4 linked regions of the Arabidopsis thaliana genome follow. The protein of the gene in region 1 interacts with the protein of each later gene in a pairwise test. Each region holds a gene or a part of one and is shown on either strand. Other genes may lie near its edges.

What was found.
Region 2: the proteins of AT4G33945 (region 1) and TRFL2 interact in a two-hybrid assay, tested with the Arabidopsis thaliana proteins (one study listed by BioGRID).
Region 3: the proteins of AT4G33945 (region 1) and TRFL9 interact in a protein complementation assay, tested with the Arabidopsis thaliana proteins (one study listed by BioGRID).
Region 4: the proteins of AT4G33945 (region 1) and TRP1 interact in a two-hybrid assay, tested with the Arabidopsis thaliana proteins (one study listed by BioGRID).

What each region holds. Positions count from the first base shown.
Region 1 is NC_003075.7:16,266,073-16,271,465, reverse strand, and holds AT4G33945 (ARM repeat superfamily protein), read right to left. Parts: upstream 3,583-5,393; 5' UTR 3,348-3,582; coding exon 3,212-3,347; intron 3,114-3,211; coding exon 2,802-3,113; intron 2,722-2,801; coding exon 2,438-2,721; intron 2,265-2,437; coding exon 2,136-2,264; intron 2,050-2,135; coding exon 1,927-2,049; intron 1,675-1,926; coding exon 1,567-1,674; intron 1,349-1,566; coding exon 1,170-1,348; intron 1,076-1,169; coding exon 952-1,075; 3' UTR 541-951; downstream 1-540. Other genes in the region: AT4G33940 (RING/U-box superfamily protein), read right to left, coding at 3,854-4,011, 4,122-4,173, 4,383-4,481, 4,608-4,804, 5,099-5,381.
Region 2 is NC_003070.9:2,317,643-2,323,515, forward strand, and holds TRFL2 (TRF-like 2), read right to left. Parts: upstream 4,023-5,873; 5' UTR 3,873-4,022; exon of another isoform or gene 3,740-3,872; intron 3,468-3,739; 5' UTR 3,407-3,467; coding exon 3,326-3,406; intron 3,226-3,325; coding exon 2,487-3,225; intron 2,397-2,486; coding exon 2,232-2,396; intron 2,148-2,231; coding exon 2,073-2,147; intron 1,988-2,072; coding exon 1,908-1,987; intron 1,820-1,907; coding exon 1,578-1,819; intron 1,479-1,577; coding exon 1,212-1,478; intron 1,114-1,211; coding exon 1,050-1,113; intron 971-1,049; coding exon 791-970; 3' UTR 501-790; downstream 1-500. Other genes in the region: AT1G07550 (Leucine-rich repeat protein kinase family protein), read right to left, coding at 5,067-5,472, 5,587-5,773. UniProt on the Arabidopsis thaliana protein: Binds specifically to the plant telomeric double-stranded DNA sequences. At least 6 repeats of telomeric sequences are required for binding.
Region 3 is NC_003074.8:3,981,362-3,987,441, forward strand, and holds TRFL9 (TRF-like 9), read right to left. Parts: upstream 4,265-6,080; 5' UTR 3,922-4,264; intron 3,544-3,921; exon of another isoform or gene 3,507-3,543; 5' UTR 3,488-3,506; coding exon 3,407-3,487; intron 3,335-3,406; coding exon 2,620-3,334; intron 2,529-2,619; coding exon 2,355-2,528; intron 2,192-2,354; coding exon 2,112-2,191; intron 2,010-2,111; coding exon 1,774-2,009; intron 1,665-1,773; coding exon 1,359-1,664; intron 1,265-1,358; coding exon 1,201-1,264; intron 1,115-1,200; coding exon 911-1,114; 3' UTR 519-910; downstream 1-518. Other genes in the region: FDM3 (XH/XS domain-containing protein), read left to right, coding at 1-11. UniProt on the Arabidopsis thaliana protein: Binds specifically to the plant telomeric double-stranded DNA sequences. At least 2 repeats of telomeric sequences are required for binding. Induces DNA bending.
Region 4 is NC_003076.8:23,965,428-23,971,496, forward strand, and holds TRP1 (telomeric repeat binding protein 1), read left to right. Parts: upstream 1-1,789; 5' UTR 1,790-2,150; intron 2,151-2,183; exon of another isoform or gene 2,184-2,252; intron 2,253-2,447; exon of another isoform or gene 2,448-2,720; 5' UTR 2,721-2,826; coding exon 2,827-2,910; intron 2,911-3,004; coding exon 3,005-3,620; intron 3,621-3,710; coding exon 3,711-3,839; intron 3,840-3,932; coding exon 3,933-3,980; intron 3,981-4,065; coding exon 4,066-4,145; intron 4,146-4,217; coding exon 4,218-4,408; intron 4,409-4,495; coding exon 4,496-4,816; intron 4,817-4,908; coding exon 4,909-4,972; intron 4,973-5,064; coding exon 5,065-5,268; 3' UTR 5,269-5,283; coding exon of another isoform or gene 5,284-5,326; 3' UTR 5,327-5,569; downstream 5,570-6,069. Other genes in the region: ZEU1 (P-loop containing nucleoside triphosphate hydrolases superfamily protein), read left to right, coding at 5,970-5,975. UniProt on the Arabidopsis thaliana protein: Binds specifically to the plant telomeric double-stranded DNA sequences 5'-GGTTTAG-3'. At least 4 repeats of telomeric sequences are required for binding. Induces DNA bending.

The sequences.
Region 1 (5,393 bases):
ATCCCAATTTAATTTAATCAAACACAGTGAAAAATGAAATAGAAATAATTTAAATTAACAATTAGTTTTTCTGTTAGTGGATCTATATATTAATATCGTAATATGTCCCTTACATATGTACATTTTTGGCTACTGGATTAATTTTGCCCCTTAAATATGTCCTGAAACGGAGCTGATGAAACATATACTCGCATTAAACAAGCTTATGGCTAATCATGGGAACCTCCATGTATTAATGACCACTAAAAAGATTTACTTTCTATTTCGGTATATAAAAAGGGTTTCCGCATTTAAAAACGGAAAATAAAAGAAAAACAAGTTACCACAAATGTCGAGATATTGTTGGCTAGCTTGTCAGATCTTCACCTAAAAGCTGAAACCGATAGAGTTGCACTCATCATCACTATAGCCCATCATTTTTACTATCTAAAGTTTTTGTTTATGCGCATCCACATGACGATTTTGCTGCAAACTTTTTTTTTAATCATCTTTTAAAAACATATATCCGTACTTAATATTCCCAATACACTCTTCTAGAGCTCGATCATTCCATGGACGTGAACATTTTGTCTTTGTTTCTCTTCCCTTTAGTCAAACAAACATTTTGTCCTTGTTTCAAACTAAAATCGATTTCTTCTAAATAAAGGAAATTCATTGACTAAACGAATGATTTTAGTGAATGAATGAAAATTTCTCATTGTGAAGCCTCTGTTTCTCTATTTACTTTTTTACTATTTAGAGTACCTTTCACCGAAATTTTCAATCAATTCCTTTCAATTTTACTACATGTTCAAGCATTCGAACAAAAGCAATCGTTGCAAAAAAGACTAGATCGGAATGCCTTCTACCCAAAAGAGAGAACTCAATGCAAACTGTTTATGAAATTTTTGAAAAAAAAAACTGGATTCATTCCGGTTGTTGCGAGTACCAACCAATGGAGAAAGATTGACCTTAGTTATTGTAGTTATCAAGGCCAAGGTCTCTCAGTGCATCAGTTGCAGCGGCTCTGCATGTCTCATTGTTGGCTTTAGCAGTTCTTATCAGCTTCTCGATTCCATTAGCAAGCAGAATAGTTCTGTAGTGTGCATGCAGACAGAACTTGATATTATAAAAGAGTTTGCGATATGTGCATATTGTTGGATGACAAGAATTGGAAACAGAGCAAAAACCTGTTCTCTGCACTTCTGACAGCAATGTTCCGTATCATGTTGCAAGCGTTTCTCTGCATTTGAGCAGCTACTGGGAACCTCTTCATTGCTTGGACCGCTAGATCACCAGCTCCAGCTTCTATAGCCTTGGCTGCGTGGTCTGGTGATCTCAGACAGATTATAGAGATTATCAACATCACCTGAACCAATCAAGTATATCTTGGATCAACCACAAGGATTATGCACTCAGACCCTAATGCTACAAGAAACATTCTTCACACGACATTACGTTCTATCTAGTGGAAAACTGCCAAAGACGTGACCTGTAGTCACAAGTATCTTCTCTAGACAGGAAGATTTAAAATTGCGCATGGGACATAGTGTCATAAGAGGGTTTTCGTTTGGTTTATATACTTACCTCTTGTATGACTAGAGGATCATCAGAGAATCGTAGTGCGAGTGTGATTAGCTTGTCCAGACCTTGCTTCTCAACTATGGTACTCTTGTTAGAGTCACTTCCTGCCAACTAGAGATCAAAATACAAATTTTAGATAAACATTTATCATGCGTGGTTACAATGCTAATCTAAATCAGTAATAGGCTTTGGAAAAGCTTAAAATTTGAGAACATGCATTTATTAGAAGCACATGAACATAAGCTACTCCTTAATATGGTGCGGAAAATACTTGAAAGCCTGAGTTTTAAAGAAGGATTTTGAATAACCAAAGGCAATGAAGACAACAGAGGCAGCCTGCAGGGCATATTAGAAGCTACTCACCTTAGACAACAGGGAACAACATGTCTTAGCAGCAGTTTTGTTGCCTTGCTCACCGCTATCATCAATACACCGAAGAAGTGTATCTATTCCACCGGATTCAGCAATAGATTTACATATTTCATCCTGTTTACAGCAAAACCAGATGAAGAACTTGCAAGAACCTAACCAGATAAATGTTATCACACAGAGATTTCAACTAGGAGACTTACATTGACAGCAATTGCTTTTAACGCAGTACTTGCTGACACCAAACTATCAGAGCCAATCCCTGCCTGTAATGCTTCAGTGAGGGCTGTCGCAATCCCTAATTTGGCAAAAGTTCGTGCATAACCATAAACCTGAAACACATGGAAGCAAAAGTCTAGTGGATTTGAATTCTCAAAGCATGTCCATGAATAAGCACAAAAAACAACGATTATAAATGTTTGCTAAGTGCTATATAGCTGTTTTCCCTTAATTTCATTCCCGCAGTCAAAAGTGGCATATACCAAACGAATGTAACCATACTTACTTGGGAAGCAACAACACGGAAGTCATCTGGAGTCAAAAGAGCACAAATAGCATCGTACAGAGCTCTAATGGTAGTTTTACTCTCTCTATTCAACACTTGCAGAATAAGTTCATCGATTTTCAGTTCCATGAATAACTGTTTCACAACTTCATTACCAGTTGCTGCAGCAGCAACAACCGCAAAACCAGCATCTAACAAATCAGAATCGGAGCTGGAATCATTTAAGAGATCAACAACGATATTTGGTCCAGTACAATTCCTGAATCTCTCTGTGCTCTGAATGTCTGCAATTGAATAACACATGATCAACACAAATCAAAGTTAAAACACACAAGAACGACTAATTCAAGAACAGAAGTCATACCACGGATCAACACAGCCAAAGCCTTAAAGCAAGGAACAAGAACACGATTACTTCTAGTAGATATCTTGATTTTGGAACAAATCGAGCAAGTTAAATCCACAGCACCATGTTTTGTCGCAATTGCAGCGTTCCCTGATTCTTGGCTGCTACAAAGCTCATTGAGATTCTTGAACAAACTCGATATCTCATCGAAAACCTCATCTCGAAGAGGTCCGTCTATTGAAACACTGTCGAATTCTTTTAGTCTATCTAAACAAGCAATCACCGGATTGTCCTTAACGCTACTTTCTCCAGGAACACATGTAATGATCCCTGTACCATAAACAAACACACAAATTGAACTAACGCCAGTTCGAGAGGAAGGCCAATTTCTGGAGAAAGTAAAAAGAGAGGAGAGAATGTAAACGGACCAAAGAGATCGACGCCTTGGAGCTTGAGAGTGTAGAGAGCGTCTTCGAGAGCTTCGGAGGGATCCATACCAAGATCTTCAACATTTTCCCTAACCAGATCGTCGAATGCCTCCTGAGATATTGTACGGACACCCATTCTCCTTCCTTCGCCGCTCCGATTCGATAGATCGGAAAAGATGGTTTTCAAGTAGAAAGCTCAATCGATGTTTCTTCTTCTACTGATTTGAAAGCAATTAATTAAAACAGAAACGGTGTCTTTTTGAAATTAAAACGATGTCGTTTCACTGTTTCGAGACCACAGGCACTGTTTCTTTCTTCTACCATCATTTTATTTCAGATAATTATGAAATTTTTGAATCTTTAAATCACTCATCACTCGTCTTTTAGAATATCCACTTCTACTCTTCGAACATTTGTTCAACCCTTTGATCATCTAATCAAAGATTAAGATCCTTTTCCAGAGAGATCTTTTCCAATCAATATTTTATTTCCACTGTTAGAAAAGGAGATATGTATATACTTTTAAAGTCTGCAATATCATTGTCTGTAAAACTGCACACGACTCTCGAGGTTTCTATGATCTACTACCAAACTTATCCACAAGGATCAAACTGCACAAGACTTAATAGATTCACGTGTCTGTTACAATTCCCTTTGCTCTAATTCCGGCTCAATTGCTGCAGCTGCTAGATGTCTAACCTGCTGAGCTAGGCGTCTCCTCCGATATATCCCTACTAAGCGTAGAATCAGGATCATAGCAATCGCAGCGTAGTCAAAAACTGTCACTATTCTGAACCCGCCTGTACAAAAGAGGGCAAAATCAATCTTGGAAAGCTTAAAAGCCTTAAACACACCACATTGAGATTGTTTAACCCTTCATTGCTGGTTTTTGATTTGTGAGGCAACTTACCCGTTGGAATGAAGTTAAACTCTGCGGCAGTGTAAAGGGTACTCATGAACATCTGCAAACACCGACAGAAACTTAGTTTCTCATCTTTCAATGGCCTTTAAAAACAAGAATAAATACAAACTAGTTGCTCCTATGATGATTACAAAGATTGTCTTGCTTGGCCATTAGTACAGACAACAAATGACAACAAGAATAAGTGGGTAGAGATATAACTAAACACTAAACTATGAAATGTAAATTTCAGGGTAAGATGTTCTTAACTGCAAAGATGCGCACTTCGTGAAAATACAGATTGTTCACATCTGTATCCATCATATGCCACACCATTCTCTTCACTAGAAACGGAAGCTCATGCACCTTCTGAATTATTCGAAAGATGGTGGTTTTGCCAAGTCATAAAAAGGAGAAATAAGTATATACATAGATAAGAAATGCATGAAACAGTAAAGAGAAGCAAAACAAAATCATGAATCAAAAAGACCGTACCTGAACAAAGCCAGTTAGACCTCCAACAAAGAGACGGTTATACCTACGGACTTTATCAAGAACCTCCTTCACCTCTTGCTCCTGACGCTCTTGCAAAGATGGTTCTGGTGACAGCTTCGTGATGTGCCTAACACACATGGGACACTTGCAAGGCCTAGATATTGCAGCATAGTTCCAGTACTGCAAGATGCAATTTCCTGTAACAAAATCAGCAACCGGTTTAAGAAACTTTCAGATCTTTTTATGACATTGCAAACAACACTCCATAGTAACAGAGCATGGTTTAAAAATCAACACTTTCAAAAGTTAATCAGTTGTGATAAATCATTCTTGGCTACCAAAAGGAACCCTAAACCAATTCCAACCCAAACAATTCTCCAAATTTACCTCTGACGAACAGAAATATCCCAAAAAGACACAAGCTTGATACTTCAATGTAGATGAAATGGCTCAAGAGAATCAAGAAGAAGAAGAAAGATGAAAAGACTAACCGCAATACCAATGACCACAATTTCCACGACACGGAACCGTAAAGGAGCCGAAACAGATCGGGCAAACATCATCCTCTGGAGGCGACTCGCTCTCTATCTTCCTCTCTCCACGATTGTCTGGCTCAATATTCCTTTCCTCAGCCGACACGACTCCGTCAGCAAGCACAAGCTCGTTCCGATCAAGATTTTCCGTCACAGCGGCGGCGTTAACCTCCGGAAAAACATCGGCGGTTGTTACCTCCATCTCATCCCTCAGGGATTTGCTGCTCCCCAAGGAAGACATATTTACTTCCGA
Region 2 (5,873 bases), on another chromosome or scaffold:
TTTAAAATACTGCACTTTTAAAGCAAAATAAGACAAAAGAAAAAATTGAGAGATCAGACGATGTGCTAAGCTTGGAAGTTTGGAACAAGACAATTTCGCTGTAGCAATATCATGAATTTCTTACATTAATTGCACCTTACTTTCGCTTCCCACTAAAAGATTGGACTAATCGTAGCTTCATGAACACATCCATTTTTTTTACTTTCGTAGCCACATAGCAAACGATGCTAGCAAAAAAGTTTACTCATCGATAGGTGTCGACTTTTGAGAAAGATATGAAATAATGAAAATGACAACTTCATTTATTTCTCTCGGTTGATCTATGAGATCCTAAAGTATCTCCCATCTTATTCTCTTTTCTTCTGTAAGTGTCCAAAAAAGTCTGTTTAGCCATTGAAAAAAGTCGCATAGCTATTACCACAAAAAGCCAAAGTGAATAATTATTGGTACGTATGTTATGTTTCCTTTTCTCCTTATCAACTCTACCTTTTCTTGTCAAGGAATCTTATCAGGATCTCAATTTTGCAAGGCACCAAAAGGAAGAAACCTCTTATTACAACCAAGCACTGTGACAATTACATAGGACTTCACATATCTTCATCTATATATCTTCTTCTTCTTCTTCTTCTTTACCACACAATCCATTCCTTTTTTTTTACATTGAATCTTCTCAAATACATGCATAAAACAGATAAACAAACAAACAAAAAAGTATATATGAACGAATAAATTCCAGGTTTATCCTGCTAACGTCCATTATCACGTTGCGAAGATAATATTTAATCCCGGCCTATAGACCAAGACTGGTCTCGAGCTGCTGGGGTCCCTCTAGTAACTGGTGTTTCCCCTGTTGCTGGGACCAGTAGGCATGAGCCGTTAGTACCCGGTCTAAGAGCTCCTGTGGAACTGGCTCACCTCTCCTTTGTTGCGGTGATATTCTTGCTGTGTGCACCAGCGTCTTCCATTTGTCCTAATCAATCCCAAAATTAGTTACTTCTTGCACAAGAAACATAGACCTCATTCACTGTAAGGAGAGAGTTTTATTTTACCTTCAAATCAACGTAAGTACGGTGCTTAGCATTATCAAAAGCTCGCAATTTTACGTCACGCCACCTGCAGATAGATATGCACAACAATCTTAGAACTATCTTGAACCAATTATTGATGGAAATTAAGTCTTATACTTTGGTGAACATAAAAAATTTAGTTACCTTCCGGTCCCAAGTCTCTCCACAGCTTGAACAAGGGCCTCTACTTCAGCAACAGAAAAAGGTCGACGGATCCTACGCTGTGCCACTTCAGATCGCTTGGTTTTCCGAGGTGGGACTACTGTCAACGCCTGAGCATGCAGAGGAGATACAGGAATCAAGGCTCTCGAGTAGATGGTTTTACCCCTATTTGGTGCAGAGGGTTTGGAGTCAAGGTCACTTTCTACAGAGTTACTCGGTTTAGCATGCTTCCCTGGTGATGGGAGACACCTAATGATGTCAAAAAAGTTTTGGAAAACATCAGAAACAGAGTTCTTCTCTACACTAAAGAAAGAAGCAGCATACATTGACCTCTGGATAGAGACTGACCTTGTTAGAGTGTGAGGTACATTACAGGGACGTGCAAAGTCAGAATCTTCAGGAGATAGTGGTTTTGTGGATTGTGGAGGATTTGGCTCAAGACAAAACCCTAAAGTGTCTGAAAGAGTGTCTAGAGAGAGTCCAGTCTGTAGAAGCATTTTACTGTCGTCTCTAACCTTTTTCCCATGAACCAGAACACCTATGCGTAATCCACCTCCAAGTATCGAGGTCACAGCTTCCAACACTGTCCTCTAGCGAGAAGAAGTAAAGTTTCATCAATCATTATCCATAAACATGAAGGAGATCCTTCCAGAAAATTATAAGCCGAAAAATCCTAACCTTTAGCGAACCGACAGTAGCTGTCTCTGGAATTTCAATGAAAAGTTCAGGGACTCTAAATGACTTGATTCCAAGTTTCACTAAGCACAACAAGAAAAAATGAACAGAATTAATACAAAAATCTGATTGGTAAAAATAACAAAAAACCTCAATAGAAATAGATACCGTTATTAGAATCTCTTGGTGATTGGAATGCTGCAGGCTGCTTCTGACAAGCTATGGATGATAGAAAAGCTGAAGCTGCCAAAAACAAAGTTCAAAGTTAATCACTATATCATCGTAAAGTGATTTTTGACGTTAAATGACTAGCTTCCGATAATATACCCTTTCGAGGTGAACCAGACTGGCCTTCATTTTTATTTGTTTCCTCGGATTGTGATGCTGTATAACCATCAAAGTATCTCCTTTTCTTTATTGGATAGTTCCTCTCTGATCTTAAGCTTTTAAGACAATGTTTCTTGCTATAGTAATCAGACTTCAAGTCCAAGTCTAAAACATTTTCAGACAAAGACACATAAATAAACCATAACATCTTGAAAAGTACATATGACTTGCTCACAAATGGTCCATAATGTTCACCTGAATTAGTTACTGTTGTATCTTTCAGCTTTGGAGGGACTTTACAATACTTGGAAGCCCAAACTTTCCTTATTCTTCTATCTCCAATACGCAGAGTTGACCTAAATGATTTTGTTCTGTAACAGGCTGAGAAGTTTTCGCCATCATCATTTTCCTTACCGTGTAAATCTACATCATCGGAGCATGTTGAAGGATTTTGGGGAATAGGTTTCCTGAATCCACTACCTATATGTTTCTCATCCTTACCTACAACATTCCTTGATAACTTTGCTTCAAAATTTAACCCTCCAAGCATTGATTTCTTATCATTAGACTCTGACCTATAGCAATCACCATTATTGATCTTGGATTCATCATACGCCAATTCTTGAGTTTCAAACTTCTCAGAGGAATCAGAAGTTATACCAGAAGAAGATCCAAAATGGAACTCTTTAAGGGGACTTGGAGATCTATTAAAGCTTTGCATTTCATGAGATTTTTGAAGAATCTCAGAGACAAAGAAACTCCGTTCAGCATTATTATTATCATGATCAGAATTTGTAGTCTCTTCTTCCACCATTATATCGCCGCCGTTAAGCGGCTCTTTCTTAACTGCACACTGATCTTCATTATTACCAGAGGTATTGTTACTTGAGGAAGAAGAATTCCCACCTTCAAGCAGCAGTTTTCCAGCTACTGCAGCCAACAAATCGAAAGACGATATTTGATGGTTTTCGCTTTTCTTCTTGAAAGCACTCTTCTAGCAAAACACAAAACACAAACATATATATCAGAAGGGAACATTAGAACATATATAAAACTGATAAGAAACACACAAAAAAGTTAAGAATTGTATTTACTCTTGGTGATCTGGCAGCTCGAGGTGTGTGAGGCACCTCATAGCCATTGAATCCATAATCGGGCCTCTTTTGCAACACCATGATTTGAAGAACATTTCAATCATTCAACAAAACGAAGGCATTCTCACGGATTACAAGATCCCTGGAGAAAAACAATTAGGTTACTGAGTCCAACAATGTATTAGCATTTATCTATAAAATTTCTTACGTTGCAAGAAAATCTCACATACTGTATATGTGATAGCAGATTATTTCCAATTTCAGACATCATTTTTTGTAAAACCCTAGCTAGAATCCAAGTTATTGAAATTTCCACGATCTAAAGCCTCATTTGATTAATGACCGTAGAGTGAAAACAGAGCATGAATTTACCAAGAAAAATAATGAACAATTCTGGTCTTGTAATATTTTCATGAAAAACAAACACGGTTCAGCTTCTGTGAGAAACCAAATTACAACATCAAAAAACCCTCAAGCTAGAAAACTATAAACATAAAAAACCGCAATTCAAATTGCAGATCCAAAAAAACTTCAAAAATAATCTCACCTTTTCTTCTGAAACAAGGTGAGATCAGAATGTTTATGATCTTATTTTCTCATCAACCCACACAAAGCAAAAAAGTTTCTGTCTTATTATTTATTTTTTGTTGTGGGAAATCGAAAAACCCCTTAATGTGGGAAAAAAGCACGGAAGGAGACAAGGGCTTAAACCCCTGGTCTTATACGAGAGTAGTAACACAGAGGACGTGTCTGAAAAAAGAAGAAGAGCGAATAACCGGCTATAACCAGTAAACCCCACCCTGAAGACCTGTTCTTCTTCTCCCTTCTTGGGTCACCACCACTGTCTCACGTACTTCCCCCTGATTCGGCCACGTGTTGTCTCTGTCGGATCGTCCGGCTTTTTTTACAACACACAAACTTCGACAATAACGTTGAGTCACACATGCCATGTAATGTTTTTTTTTTCCTTTCAGTCCAAGCCATGTCATTCTCCTGTTTATTTTATTTTGTCTTTTTCAGTTTTTCTTCTTCTATTTTATTTTATAATAACAAATTTGTTTTCATTGAGAACCCTATCTATTTTCTGATGCAAAATACTTTAACCTAAACCTAATTAACCTAACCGATCGATCAATTCGGTTTGCAGCTATCAACCGATCGGCAATGCTTCAAATATACTTTGGCATCACTGAACCGAACGGTTCTTCAGTTCTTTCCCAACCTGCCGAGAATCCGAATTGAATAGTCCTTCTAAATGCTGGAAACTTTGAACGGAACGATGGATCTGAGAGTAAATACCGAAGTGAAGCTCGTCTTCTTCTTCTTCTTCTCTGTCGGTAGCATCGAAATCGCGAAGGACAAAGAACACGTGTTTCAAGAAGATGAAATTAGGATTTCTTCTTGGGCTTACAAAGTTCCTACAGCCCAAAAAATAACATTTCTACACCACAGCCTACACTTTCGGCCCACAAAATAAAAACCCAGTGAATTTCCAAGCCCACCGAAAAAACCGAACCGCATAAACAGATTCTTTAAACCGAATAAAATCACAAATATCTGTATGAGTGGATATTCTTCTTGTATAATTAAAAGAGTACTTTCAACTTTCGATAGCACAAGAAGAAGCTATTAAGTATCAACACGTTCAACATACAGACTTAACACCCAAATTGTGCAATAGACGCTTCATAATACAAATTATACAGACTGATCATTATACACCCAACCATGAGAATAATGACTAACGTGCCTTTGGGTTTATTTCGGTGTCTACAACTATGCTCAGTTCCAGAGGACTGCTTAAGTCCACCTCTTGGCTTTTTCTCCACTTTTCACATGTTTCCAAACATTCGTTTAGCACATGAACGACCTGAGACATGTTTGGTCTCTCTTTGGAAGTACGGTTCACACATGACATTGCCAATTCAACAACTTTCCATGCAGAACTTGTGTCATAATCTTGATGGAGGTTTGGATCCACTATACTTTCAATATCACCATTTTCGAGTATAAAACTGGTCCATTCCACTATGTTACAATTTTCACGGGATAAATCAATCACATCTTGGCCGCTGATGATTTCCAGTAAGACAACCCCAAAGCTATATACATCACTCTTCATGCTTAACAAGCTGGTTTTGTGGTACCTATAACAAAAGATTTTAAAGATATGGTTCACTTTTTTTTTCAGAAAGCAAGAAAATCGATCGAAGACATGCATGTTTAAATGTACAATGTGATATAAATCCTCCACTACTTACTCCGGATCAAGATATCCAAATGTTCCAGCAACAACCGTAGGTTGAGCTTCATTTCCTATTAGGAAGGATCTTGAGAGTCCGAAATCAGCAATTTTGGCCTCAAATTCTTCACTCAACAATATATTAGTACTTTTGACATCTCTATGAACGATTTTTGGCTTGCATCCAGTATGCAAATACTCAATTCCTACCATATGTTAAACCTCGTATGTTAACTAATTATCATAAATATGGAGTTTAAGAGAGAATTTATATATATCAGCTTAAACTATATATAATAATATTTC
Region 3 (6,080 bases), on another chromosome or scaffold:
TCAAGTCATAAAGGTTTATATTTGCATTTACCCGGTACACTCAAAAATCCCAGCTCTTTGGAAGTTTGCCTCTTTGCTTACATAGTTGTATTTTCGAATTTTGCTAATCTGAGGTCTGTACTTTGCAAGTTGCAGGAGATGGAAAATAAGTTTAGCGTGTAAAGGATGTCAAAATGCAAGGTTCAACAATTGTCTCTCGTCTTTGATGCAATATATGGGTCTTAGAATTGCGAAGTAGGTGTAAATTAGAGGAGGATGGCGTCACATTGGGACTCGAAGTTGAAACTATGTTTCTACACTTGACGGTTCAACATTGTAGGAAACTAAGTAACAAACATTGTTAGATGATTCTAAACCTTAGAGAAGTTTATGAATTTGTGAAGAAATGAACACTTTGGCTTAGTTAAGAGTCTTTCCACCAATAACAAACACTTAACTGTGTCTAATATTCCAAAATCACAGAGCAGCAGTATTTCTTATCTTTCAAATTGGGTTATTCACATTTTGTCAAAGATATCTGTCACAATATCACTCTCATCTCTCATGTGTTTTATTGAAAAAAAATTAAAAAAATTGAACGAAATAATGAAGAAGGTTTGACCTGTCACTTGTCAGAAAGGATAGAACATAAAAGAATGTATAAAATTACAAGATCCCTTTTTATGGACCGAAATTATTACACAATGTAATCAATGTTGAAAAAACAAAGATAGAACCTAAAAATTTGGTTAGGGACGAATCTCATCCCAGTTGGAGTCATTTACAGATGCCAAAGCAAGGAAAAAAAAAGTGTATGTAGGAGAAAAAAAAAAACGAGAAATAAAGACAATTAAACTTTGCAGAAATTGAGTTGTCCATTTATTGTGTTGTTTGCTTCTGTACACCCACCCACCAATGCGTACCTCCTTTTTTACACTGAAACACCTGATTCAAAAGCTCCACCTCTGTTCATGTCTGGATCTTTGGACGCTCCTCTCGCCTGATGTTTTCCTTGGTGCTGCGACCAATACCCGTATGCCCTCAAGACTCTGTCTAGCAGTTCTTGTGGCACCGGCTCTCCTCTTCGTTGCTGTGGGGATATACTTGCTGTGTGAACTAGCGTCTTCCATTTGTCCTGCATATTCACATGTTCTTGAGATATTAACCTGACTGTAAGACGTGATATGTTCCAGATTACATGTTTGTGTCTGATGTGTTTACCTTCAAGTCCACGTAAGTCCGATGATCTGCATCCTCGAAAGCACGCAATTTTACATCACGCCATCTGTGTGATCAGATATATCGACCATTAGCTTTTGAGCTTTGACATTATCCCACGACCAAACTACATGAGTTATGAAAGAACTAGTGTTATATACCTTCCAGTCCCGAGTTCCTCAACTGCTTGTACAAGAGCTTCTACCTCTGTCACAGAGAAGGGTCTCCTAGTTCTCCTCTGGGCTAGCTCAGTACGCTTAGGTTTCTGGTTCAACGGAACTATGGCAAGCGCCTTGACTTCCAACTCTGGAAGTGGGACAAGCTCTTTTGAATCTGATGAAGGTTCATCAACAGATATGTCACCCTGATATGGAACTAATTCGAGGTTACTGTCCACAATATTTCTTGAATCAATCACGTCATCTGCATGTGGAATTCCAGAATCTAGCATAGGAGACGCCGCAGACCTGGGATGATAATTCAGAACCGCTTTTGCTTAGGAATCTTCAAGAAGAATGAACACCAGTGATATTCAACTAAAGCAGCACAAGGATATGATAGCGAATTTCTTAGTACCGTTCAGACAAACTTGTAGGGTCGGTTGGCACAGCAGGATCTTCAGAACACAAAGGTAGGGGAACTTTGCTGGGACTAGGCTCCAAGGTGAACCCAAGGTTGTCTAGATTTTCATCACATGAGATCCCAGTCTGGGACAGAGTTTTCCTTTCATCTCTAACCTTCTTCCCATGCATTAACACCCCAACACGTATTCCTCCGCTGAGTAAAACACTGACAGCCTCCATCACAGTCCTCTGCAACCAAAAGGGTCAAAGAGCAAAATGGTAATTTGTTAACACCTCAATGTCCACACAAGAGAACCAAACAAATGTGAAGAAATACATATTGGCATATACCTTTAGTGATCCTACTGTTGCAGTTTCTGGAACTTCAATAAAAAGCTCTGGAATCCTAAAGGACTTAATGCTTAGCTTTACTGCACCAGAGATAAAAATACATGAGAACCACATTATCCTGTCTCCGGATAAATGTCTCAGTATCATTTACCATCCAGTCAAGTACCATGGGAGCCTTTTGAGAGGACCACAACAGCTAAGATAAGATAACTGAAGAGTTTTGAGATAGACTACAATAACCACCTGTATCTCCCTTCTTGGGTAACTTGGAAACACTTCCACTACTGAGTCCTCCATCAGAAGTTACGACCGAGCTTCTGTCAGGTGATCTTCTTCTCTTATAAATGATCTCACGCTGCCATGCGTTGTAACCATAACATGATTTTCTTTTGCGATAAAGAGTCTTCACACCCACATCTAGACATCCATGTTTAAAGTAAGAACAGGGTGAATCACAAAAAGAAGAAATGTGTTCAAAGATAAGTGAAGCAGGCTGTGTTATACTTACCAGCTCTACTGTATCCAAAATCTTTTGGAACTTGTTTCCAGTATTTGGACGACATGGACTTTCTTATTCTTCGAATTGTTGGAGACCTATACGACTTAAATTTATTGCTAAGTTTATGGTAACTATAGAATTTTTCATCATCATCTTTTCTACCTAGGTTAGTATGGTTCCCATGTCTAGCATAGGAACCATTAGGGGTCATATCCAAGGTGGATGGTGATTTTAAATCACCACCCACACAGACTGATTTCGGAAACTGCAGACCTAACGCAGTTGCATCCTCTAAGTTGCAAGTATCAGTGACTAAGCCTCCATCACCCACGCGATCGGTTGCTTCTCCTTGCTCGAACCCATTATTTACATTCTTGTTTTCACACCCTACATCCATCAAACCATGAATCTTCTTGTAATCAGACATCGGAGTCCGCTCCAAAACGCCGTCACTATCCGGAAATGAAAAACAACTGTTCACCACACACTTCTCAGTAGAGATATCATAAGTAGGCTTTGACACAGAGTTTCCTTGGTCAGAAGACTCAGATTTAATAGTCTTGCAATTTTCTACTTTCTCTTGCTTAATTTCTTCAAATGCATTAGAAGACGCAGAGGAACTCTCGCTTTCCTGTAGAATCTTTCCAGCCAAAGCTAGTAAGTCAATTGCACAGATCTGAGTGTTATCATCATCATGATCAATCCTCTTGTTTAGAACCTTCCTCTGGAAAAAAAGATTCATCAGAAGGCAAATTCATGACATTGAGCTAACAGATCCAGATGAATCAAAATTTACCCTGCATGAACGAGGAGCTCTGGGAATGTTGGGAAAATCAAATCCCACGGAAAGGCAATCTAACTTTCTCTTGAACACCATCTCTCAAATATGCATATCACTAGCAACACAAAAACAAAACAGAACAGAACAGAACACTGTAAAGAATCAGAAAGTAGCAACAAGAATCATAAACAGTAAACACCAATTTAGATCAGATCAACACGACCAAATCCGAGCCTTTGATGTAAGAAAGACACTGAAACAAGAAATGGATCACGCAAATGGAAAAGCGTTGGTAAAATTGAACAAGACTCAAATGCTAGAAGCTGCTTACAAATTCAATTATAAGATTCGAGACAAGATGAAAAGAAACAGTAACCTGATCAGATCTCGAACAAATTATTTCGACCCGCCAAAGAAATTTAATGGAAATTTGAAAACCGGATCAGAGTCAAAGGATCAAAAACCACCCAAAACCCCAAGAATTTTACAGATCGGTAAGTGAACAAGTCAATTGCGATGAAAAAACTCACCTATCAGCCACCAGTTTCTTGATCACGATCGCGAACCACTTATTATTACAGATCACGCTATCTTAAAACCCAAATTCCCCCATACCCGATTTGTGTGTTTTATGTATATATAAAACAATGTACAAAGGAAAAATTAGAATCGATTTATACAAAAACTCGAGATTCTAAGATTTAAAAGAAATGAAGAATTCTCGAGTTATTTTTTTTTTGTGTGTGTTGCGGTAAGAATCCGTCGTTGTCTTTAGAAAAGAAAGAAGGAAGATGACGTGAAAAGCCCCATTGAAACAGAAACCCCTTTTTTTATAATCATTCTTGTAAATTAAAATAAATTAAAAAAGTTTTTATTGACCACACAAATAACAACGGGTTTGAGATGAGGCAGTTGTTGTAAACCGGTAAACCGGCTATTGACGGTCACCCTTGTAAATTTATGGTAAAACACTAAAACCCCTCTCTCCGGTTAACAGGCTATTGATGGTAACCCTCTCTCTCCGGGAATCATCAGTTCATAACCCCTTAAAGAAGATAGGTTTGTCAGAAGAATCTTTATTTTAGGGATCGGATAAAAACAATACAACAGTGCTGTTTGTGATTGGAGTGGGGTCCTTTTTAATATACTAGTACTACAAAAGCTGTCTTTATCTTCCACGTGGGTAGAGAAAGCCTGTGACAACTCCATTGCTTTGGTAATAACGTCGTCACAAGGTTTTTTAAGTGTTCATTCAACTTGAGTGATAACATGAATTTCTTGATGAGATTACATGTTGAAGCATGTGCTAATGGGGCCAAAATGAACGTGTTATGTGTTTTAAGGTATTTTGTGAATGACAATGTTCGCGCCAATCTTATGGCTATTTTAGTGGGACTAAACTACTAAAGCATATGCTTGGCTAATTAATGTAATGAGAATCGAAATGGGTTGAATCAAACATAAATTTATGGCCGGCTGTTGAATCGAATTGTTTGTTTAATTATGTCCGTCTTGGACTTCTGAGAGTGTCTGTCTACTTCTGTGGCTGGCCTTGGAGACTTGGACCCTTGTAAATTATAACCATTCATGAATATGGGCCGCATGACGATTAGTAAATGGGTCGGATCGGACCATTCTATTGGAAGAGGTACAAGGAAAATGATCAGGCATACTACATACATTCTCCACAAACATGGACTAATCATTCTATGTTCCTTCTCTAATAAAGCTTTCACTGAATTCATGATTAGTATGTAAACCATCGTTGATTACAGTTTTATAATAATTAGACGTTATATATTGGGAGAATGTATGCATGCATGAAATATTTCAAAAATTCATATATAGATCTTGTTGTATCCTAGCTCGTTTCACTTTTAGTTTGTAGTTTGTACTAAACAAATACTGAAATACACATGCATTTCTTTCGCTTTATATAAAAACATATACACATGCTGCATGCACTTCAATCATATTGAAATCTCTAATTGGTACATTTTCGTACGATTTGTTGATATACTGGATTCATAGGTAGGTAAGTGGATTTATTTAAAAAGGCCAAATTTAGAAGAAAAAGAAAAGAAAAGAGAATTAGAAGGCAAGATATATATATATATATATATATCTTGCGCGGTTGCATGGTTAAGCATCAAGGCACAAAGGGACAACAACGACATTCTATAAAGAAAAAAGACGAAGCATCAAAAGGGGTCTACGGAAATTCAACATGGAGTATGGAGCTTAAAGATTTTTTCAATAAACCCATATAGTTTTATTATGCTTTTGTATGTTAGAACCTTGAAAACGTGTGGTGCCAAATAAGGAGAATAGTTTTATAACAGTATTTCTTACTTTAATGTTTATTTAATAAATTTAATTCTGAGTTACTTTGCTAAATTTTTTATTTTATCGAATTTTAAGATGAGCGTGTTAATATAGTTATACAAGTTTTTTCCCTTTCTATTCATTTATGTGACTTTTGTATTCATGAAATTTTTAAGATAGAACTACAATTTGAACGTATTAAGTAAGTGTCACAAGCTATAAAAGTTTGCTTGTGGATTAAAGAATTGTGCGAACATTGATTTAGTCAAATCACCTACCGACACGGTCTTATATTTGAGTCAATTATACATCGTTACTAACCTATTATAGACTATAGAGAGAGAGTCAGATTGATGTTTTTAGT
Region 4 (6,069 bases), on another chromosome or scaffold:
CATGGAACCTTTTTCGTAACCCACACGAGTTTGGTTTCTATTTTAGACAATTTCGTATATATATATATTTTTTTTTCATAATAATATTTGGCCAAGATATTAAATCCATTCCAATACTAAAAATATCAAGAAATTTCGGATAACAACAAAAATCCAAATTATAATCCTAGTATTGGATTTCCGATTGATGCCCAGTTTAGATGAGAACCAATAAGAAGAAGTAATTCAAATTATTGTATTTATCCTCACAATCGTGAAATCATTATTTAAAATGGACGGGCCAATAGATTTCCATCGATCATGATAAAGCGTTTAATTATTTCAACTTTTATCCTAAAAAAAAACAATAGAAATATTTTATTTCATCTTATCCTTTCTAAGGTGGGTGGTTTTGAAATGTTATCACACACACATCACTGTTCTACGAAAATAATATATAATATATTTATTGAGTTTTACAAATATGTATATCTATATAATATATTGTTTGTTTATTATTATTTACAATTGTAACAAACAAAAAATATCTTATCATCTATAATATATAATTTATTAAATTATAATTCTATAGTATCAGTAGCTAGACAAGAGAACAACATTCGTGCTATATGAAATCATTAGAAAATACACATAGCATTTTGTTCCTAAAATAATTAAACATGTAATCAAAATTTAAATAGTTGTTTGGATTTATGTTTTCAAAGTGAAAATAGACCAATTAACATTCAAAAGCTGGTTGATGCTATTTTTAACGTATACTTAACATTAAAATATTTGTTTTAGTTTTGCCACTCTCGATAATTATCCCTGTCATAGGATGAGGCCCACCTGTTAGGTACATGGGCCCACTGGGACCCAAGATTTCTTATCTCCGAACTTAACGCCGTTTACACATTTCCTTCCAATATACACACACCGAACTAGATGCCGTCAATCCAACGCCGTTTATGGTTTATCCTCCCCTAGACGTTAAGATTTTGACGGTTTGTTTTTATTATCCTACAAAACATAACTGAAAAAGTGTAAAACAGAGACTCATTTGACGTTAGATTCTGCAAGTATCTCTACCGTCCGATTGGAGCAAGTGATCAGAAATATTATTACTAATCAAAAATTGATGAACATGATTTTGAGGGCAATTTTCCTTAAGTAAAAAAATCATAAAGAGACGATAATGATGTACAAAATTATCTAAAACTGAGTATAATTATATAAGCTATAGATTAAGGTATTAAGAAAAGAAAAAAAAAGGTAGATCCACCTGCCACGTGACAGAATGTCGTATAGTTATAGTTTACAGATTATCTCCACTAACCTAAATATTAATTTATATATATAGAATCCATGACTATAGTCTATAGTTGAACTTTTAGATTTAATACTATGAAACCAAACTCAACTCTTTTAAATACTTGAAAATAGATAATTTTAAAATTAATGAGTAAAGATATATTCTTGGTAAAAAAATTAGTGTGTAATTATAACATTCCATATAAAAAATCTTAGATTTCTTCAAAGATAAGAACTAGGAAAATCAAAGTAATTTTTGTAAATTGTTTACTAAAACTGAATAAGAAAATGAAAGTTGCATATATTTTTTTCAAGAATCTGCAAGTAAATAAAGTGTAACTTTAATGAGATGTAATTTTGGTTTGACATGGAATATTCTGATTGGGTAGATTCAGGAGTCATGTGATGATACATCTATGCCACGTGGTAAGATCTGAGGGATTACAAGCAATGTAAAAGCGTGGCGAAGAACCTGGTCTAAAAAGATGAAGGTGTCGACCGATAATAGCCGGTGAAGAGAAAGAGTATAACCGGTAGGACCGGTGGGGAAAAGGTCAATATAGGCTTAAAAAGGGTTTAAGCAAAAAATGTGGTCGTCTTTCTTAAGGGTTTTTGTTTTTGTGGCGTTTCACAGAGAGAGAAAGAAATAGGAGATTGTTTTTGCTTGTGGTGAGAGAAGATCGCATCGTGTGGGTAGCGTTTCAAACAAGTAAAATAATAAAAAGAATAAAAAGTTTCCGTCACTTTCTCGAGGAAGAAGGGGTTTTGGTGTGAGTCCTTTCTTTGCGTTTGTCTTTTCATTTTCCGATCTCGTAATTGTCGTGTTATTCGCCGGAAAAGTTAAAGATTCAGATTTAAAGGTGAGAGATTTTACAGTCATTTTTTTTTTAGTCATCCTGATTCTGTCTTTGAATTTCATAAAACCAAGGAGATTTTCGTTACCTTGGTCTGAAAATCTCTGGGTAAATCCCAATTTTACGTTTTTTTAAAAAAAATTCGTCGATTTTTATCTTTCATCGCTTTATTCTTCGATCTGTAAAATCCGATCTGAGATTTAGAACCCTTTTGAACACCCGTGATCTGGTGGTCCTTTGATCTTGAGATCGAAGTTTTTCGTCCATACGATTATTTTCTTAAATTTTTTTTTATGGTTTAGGGTTTTCCTGTGGTGAAATATTTGGAACGACGGTTTGACTCTCAATTTCAGATCTCAAAGTTGTTTAGGGTTTTAGGGTGGTTTAAGCTTTTTTCAATGGGCTTTGACCCAAAACCTTCAAAATCATTCCTTTTTTTGCTTCATGCATTATTTCCAGAGACAAAACCCTTTTATTCTGTTTTTTTTTTTAAATTTAAAACCATTGGCTATTTTATCTCGTTTTCTTTTGATTTCAATGTCTCTTTCTAATTTGATTTCTCAATTTTATCTACAGGTTGGGAATTACATTCACAGAATTTCGTTGATTGGTGTGATAATAAGCCATTGATCAACAATCTTCTTTTGTGGCAATCACATAATCGTGTTATGCATTCTGAGAAATGGTGTCGCATAAGTGTGTAGAAGAATTTGGATACGCAAGCTACCTGGTACCTTCCAATGCAAGAGCACCCAGATCCGCCCGGGTAATGGCCTTATCACTCATGCGTTTTTTTTAGTTGTATGGAGTTCATTATCAGTTTATATGATTACTTACGTTTGGTTTCATCTTTTGGCCAGAAGAGGCGCAGTATCGAGAAGAGGATAAGTAAAGAAGATGATAATATGTGTGCAATTGATCTATTGGCCACCGTAGCTGGACACTTGTCATTTGAGAGTGGGAGTTCTCTCATGTCTATTGACAAACTGATTGAAGATCATCGTGTAAAGGAGGAATTCCCGGAGGAAGAAAAACCTCTAATGCCAGTAGCTTTATCCCCTTATCGGGGATCTTTGAGTCCCTGCGGATTCAGTTCTGTGATAAATGGCAAAGTAGAGAATGAGGTAGATGGTTTTAGTTACTCTGGTGGTAGTGATGCTTGTCAAGTCGGGAACTTCAGTCAAGATGTAAAACCGGATATCGATGGTGATGCAGTAGTTCTGGATGCGAGACCTAATGTTGTAGTTAGTTTAGGTAGTAGTAGTAGAACCGAAGTGCCATCAATTGGGAACTGTGTTTCCCATGGCGTTCGGGATGATGTAAATTTGTTTAGTAGAGATGATGATGAAAACTTTTCCAAGTACATTCACCCGCGTGTTACAAAACATTCACCTAGGACTGTACCTCGTATTGGGGACAGAAGAATCAGGAAGATATTGGCTTCTAGACATTGGAAAGGAGGTTCAAGGCATTCAGGTAGTAGCCTGCCTAAGGGGTTCTTATCTGTTTCATATCTTAAATACATTTGATGGGTTTTGTTTTAATGACATGTATTTGGTGTTGCAGATACGAAACCGTGGAGAAATTATTACTTGCACCAGCAGAGGAGCTATCCTATCAAGAAAAGGAAAAACTTTGACCACATATCTGATTCCGTTACTGATGATTACCGTATGCGTACTAAGATGCATAGAGGTAAAGAGACTTTTTACGCCTAAACCTCTGTTAGATCTTGTAGCTAGCTTTCTCTTTGTTGTTTTAACTAGATCTTGTAAATTTAATTTGCAGGTAGTAGAAAAGGTCAAGGGGCATCCTTTGTGGCAAGCGACTCCCATGGTAACAATGGAGTCTCATCTGAATTCTTTGTCGGTGTTATTTACTTACAAAAGCGGAGAAGCTAACATGAGAATGTTTATTTCAGTGAAACTACGGATCAAGTCGTTCAGGGTGCCTGAGCTTTTCATAGAGATTCCAGAAACTGCTACTGTTGGCTCATTGAAGGTAACATTACACAGCTCTTCCTTTCGCCTCCTATTAAGAAAGTAAGTTCTTATGGTCCTTTGGCTTCTGCAGAGAATGGTGATGGAAGCAGTGAGCACTTTACTGAGTGATGGACACCGAGTTGGTCTGATGGTTCAGGGGAAGAAAGTCCGTGACGATAACAAAACCCTTCATCAGACTGGTATCTCTCAGGATAACTCCCACCTGGACTCTCTTGATTTTAGCCTTGAACCCAGCTCAGAAATGCCTCAACTGTTAACTAGGTTCAGACTTCTATTCACCACTTAAAACCCGCCACTGTGTTTAATTATTCAAATCTTTTGTGGCTTAATTTCTTATTTGTTTTCCAGTCACCCGTTGGGACATGCTTGTGAGGAGCTGCTACCTGTGTGCCAAGCTACTAAAATAGACAATGTGTTGGAATCTGACCATCATGACTCAGCATTATTCCCATCTGACTCATTAGGCAACAATAATGTGACAGAAGATTCTAAAGCTATGATTTCTGTGGCGCTCAACGAATTGTCTTCTCAATCACAACCACCTTCCCGGAAATCTAGAAGAAGTGAACAGCAGCAGCAGCAGGCTGCACAACGCAGAATTCGTCGACCTTTCTCAGTTGCTGAAGTAGAAGCACTTGTTCAAGCAGTTGAGAAACTCGGTACTGGAAGGTAAAAAAACACTAATACAAGTCATATAGTGTTGGCTTATTTGTGATTGTGAATAGAAGAAGATGATGATTAAAGTTTGGTGAAAACTGTAGGTGGAGAGATGTTAAGCTTTGTGCTTTCGAGGATGCTGACCACCGCACTTACGTAGATCTCAAGGTTTGCATTTTAATCAGTAGTTTAAATTCTAAATTCGGTGAAACCAAATCGCATGATTAGGTCTGAGAAATAACTGTTTGGTATTTGTGCAGGATAAATGGAAAACGCTGGTCCACACGGCTAAGATATCTCCACAACAGAGGAGAGGAGAGCCAGTGCCGCAGGAACTTCTAAACCGAGTCTTGAACGCCCATGGCTACTGGACGCAGCAACAGATGCAGCAGCTGCAGCAGAATGTGAACAAGCTGGAGCAGGAGACACAGTCTCAAACGACAGAGGGTCTGTTACTTCTCTAAATGAATCTGCTGCAGCCTTGGAGGTCGTCTCTCCTTTGTGTATTACTACTACTATTGATGATTATGTAAGATTCTGACATAGATGCAAAGATTTGGTCTTTTACTTTGGTTTGATTTTTTTAACTTTTCTCAATGTAAAGTTTTTAACTGGAATAAGGTTTCTCTGACCAGTTTAGGGCTTTTAGAGGATCTGTTGTACATCTTTTGTGACATTCTCATTCTCTTTACATATTTCTTATCTAGACTTTTTAAAAATTCCTCGTGTGTATAATTATTTGATGTGCTACTTGTCTGATTCCACGAGTTCGAGTTTTGTCGTGTGATTGAATTCGAATTGTCACTTACCAACGTCGTTAATACACTAACACTATGATTGGTCTGATCGCTGGATCGGTGAACCAATTGGAAAATCCAGTTCAAGTTGTTTTAGCAAAAACCAATCTCTTCTCTGAACCGGAAAACTGTAAACCGGTCAGTACTTGATCCATAAGAAACCCTCCGAGTGATTTGAAGGGTTTGAGCTGTGTTGAAAATGGTTCGTCGGCTCTCTCTAAACCCCTCTTTTTGTCGACTGCTTCTTCACGCCGTCGAGGAATTCTTCTCCACCAACGAATCCGGCGACGTCTTATCACCACCTTGTCGAATCTTTAGTTGATGTTGTTTAAAGGTGAGTCCAAATTCCACGCGCCGCCTTGACTTTCATGAATGTGTGTTTTGATACATTTCCTACATATTCCGATGTTTTCTAGCTAGATCTCCAACGATTTTCTGATTGAATTTAGGGTTGGTTACATGATGATC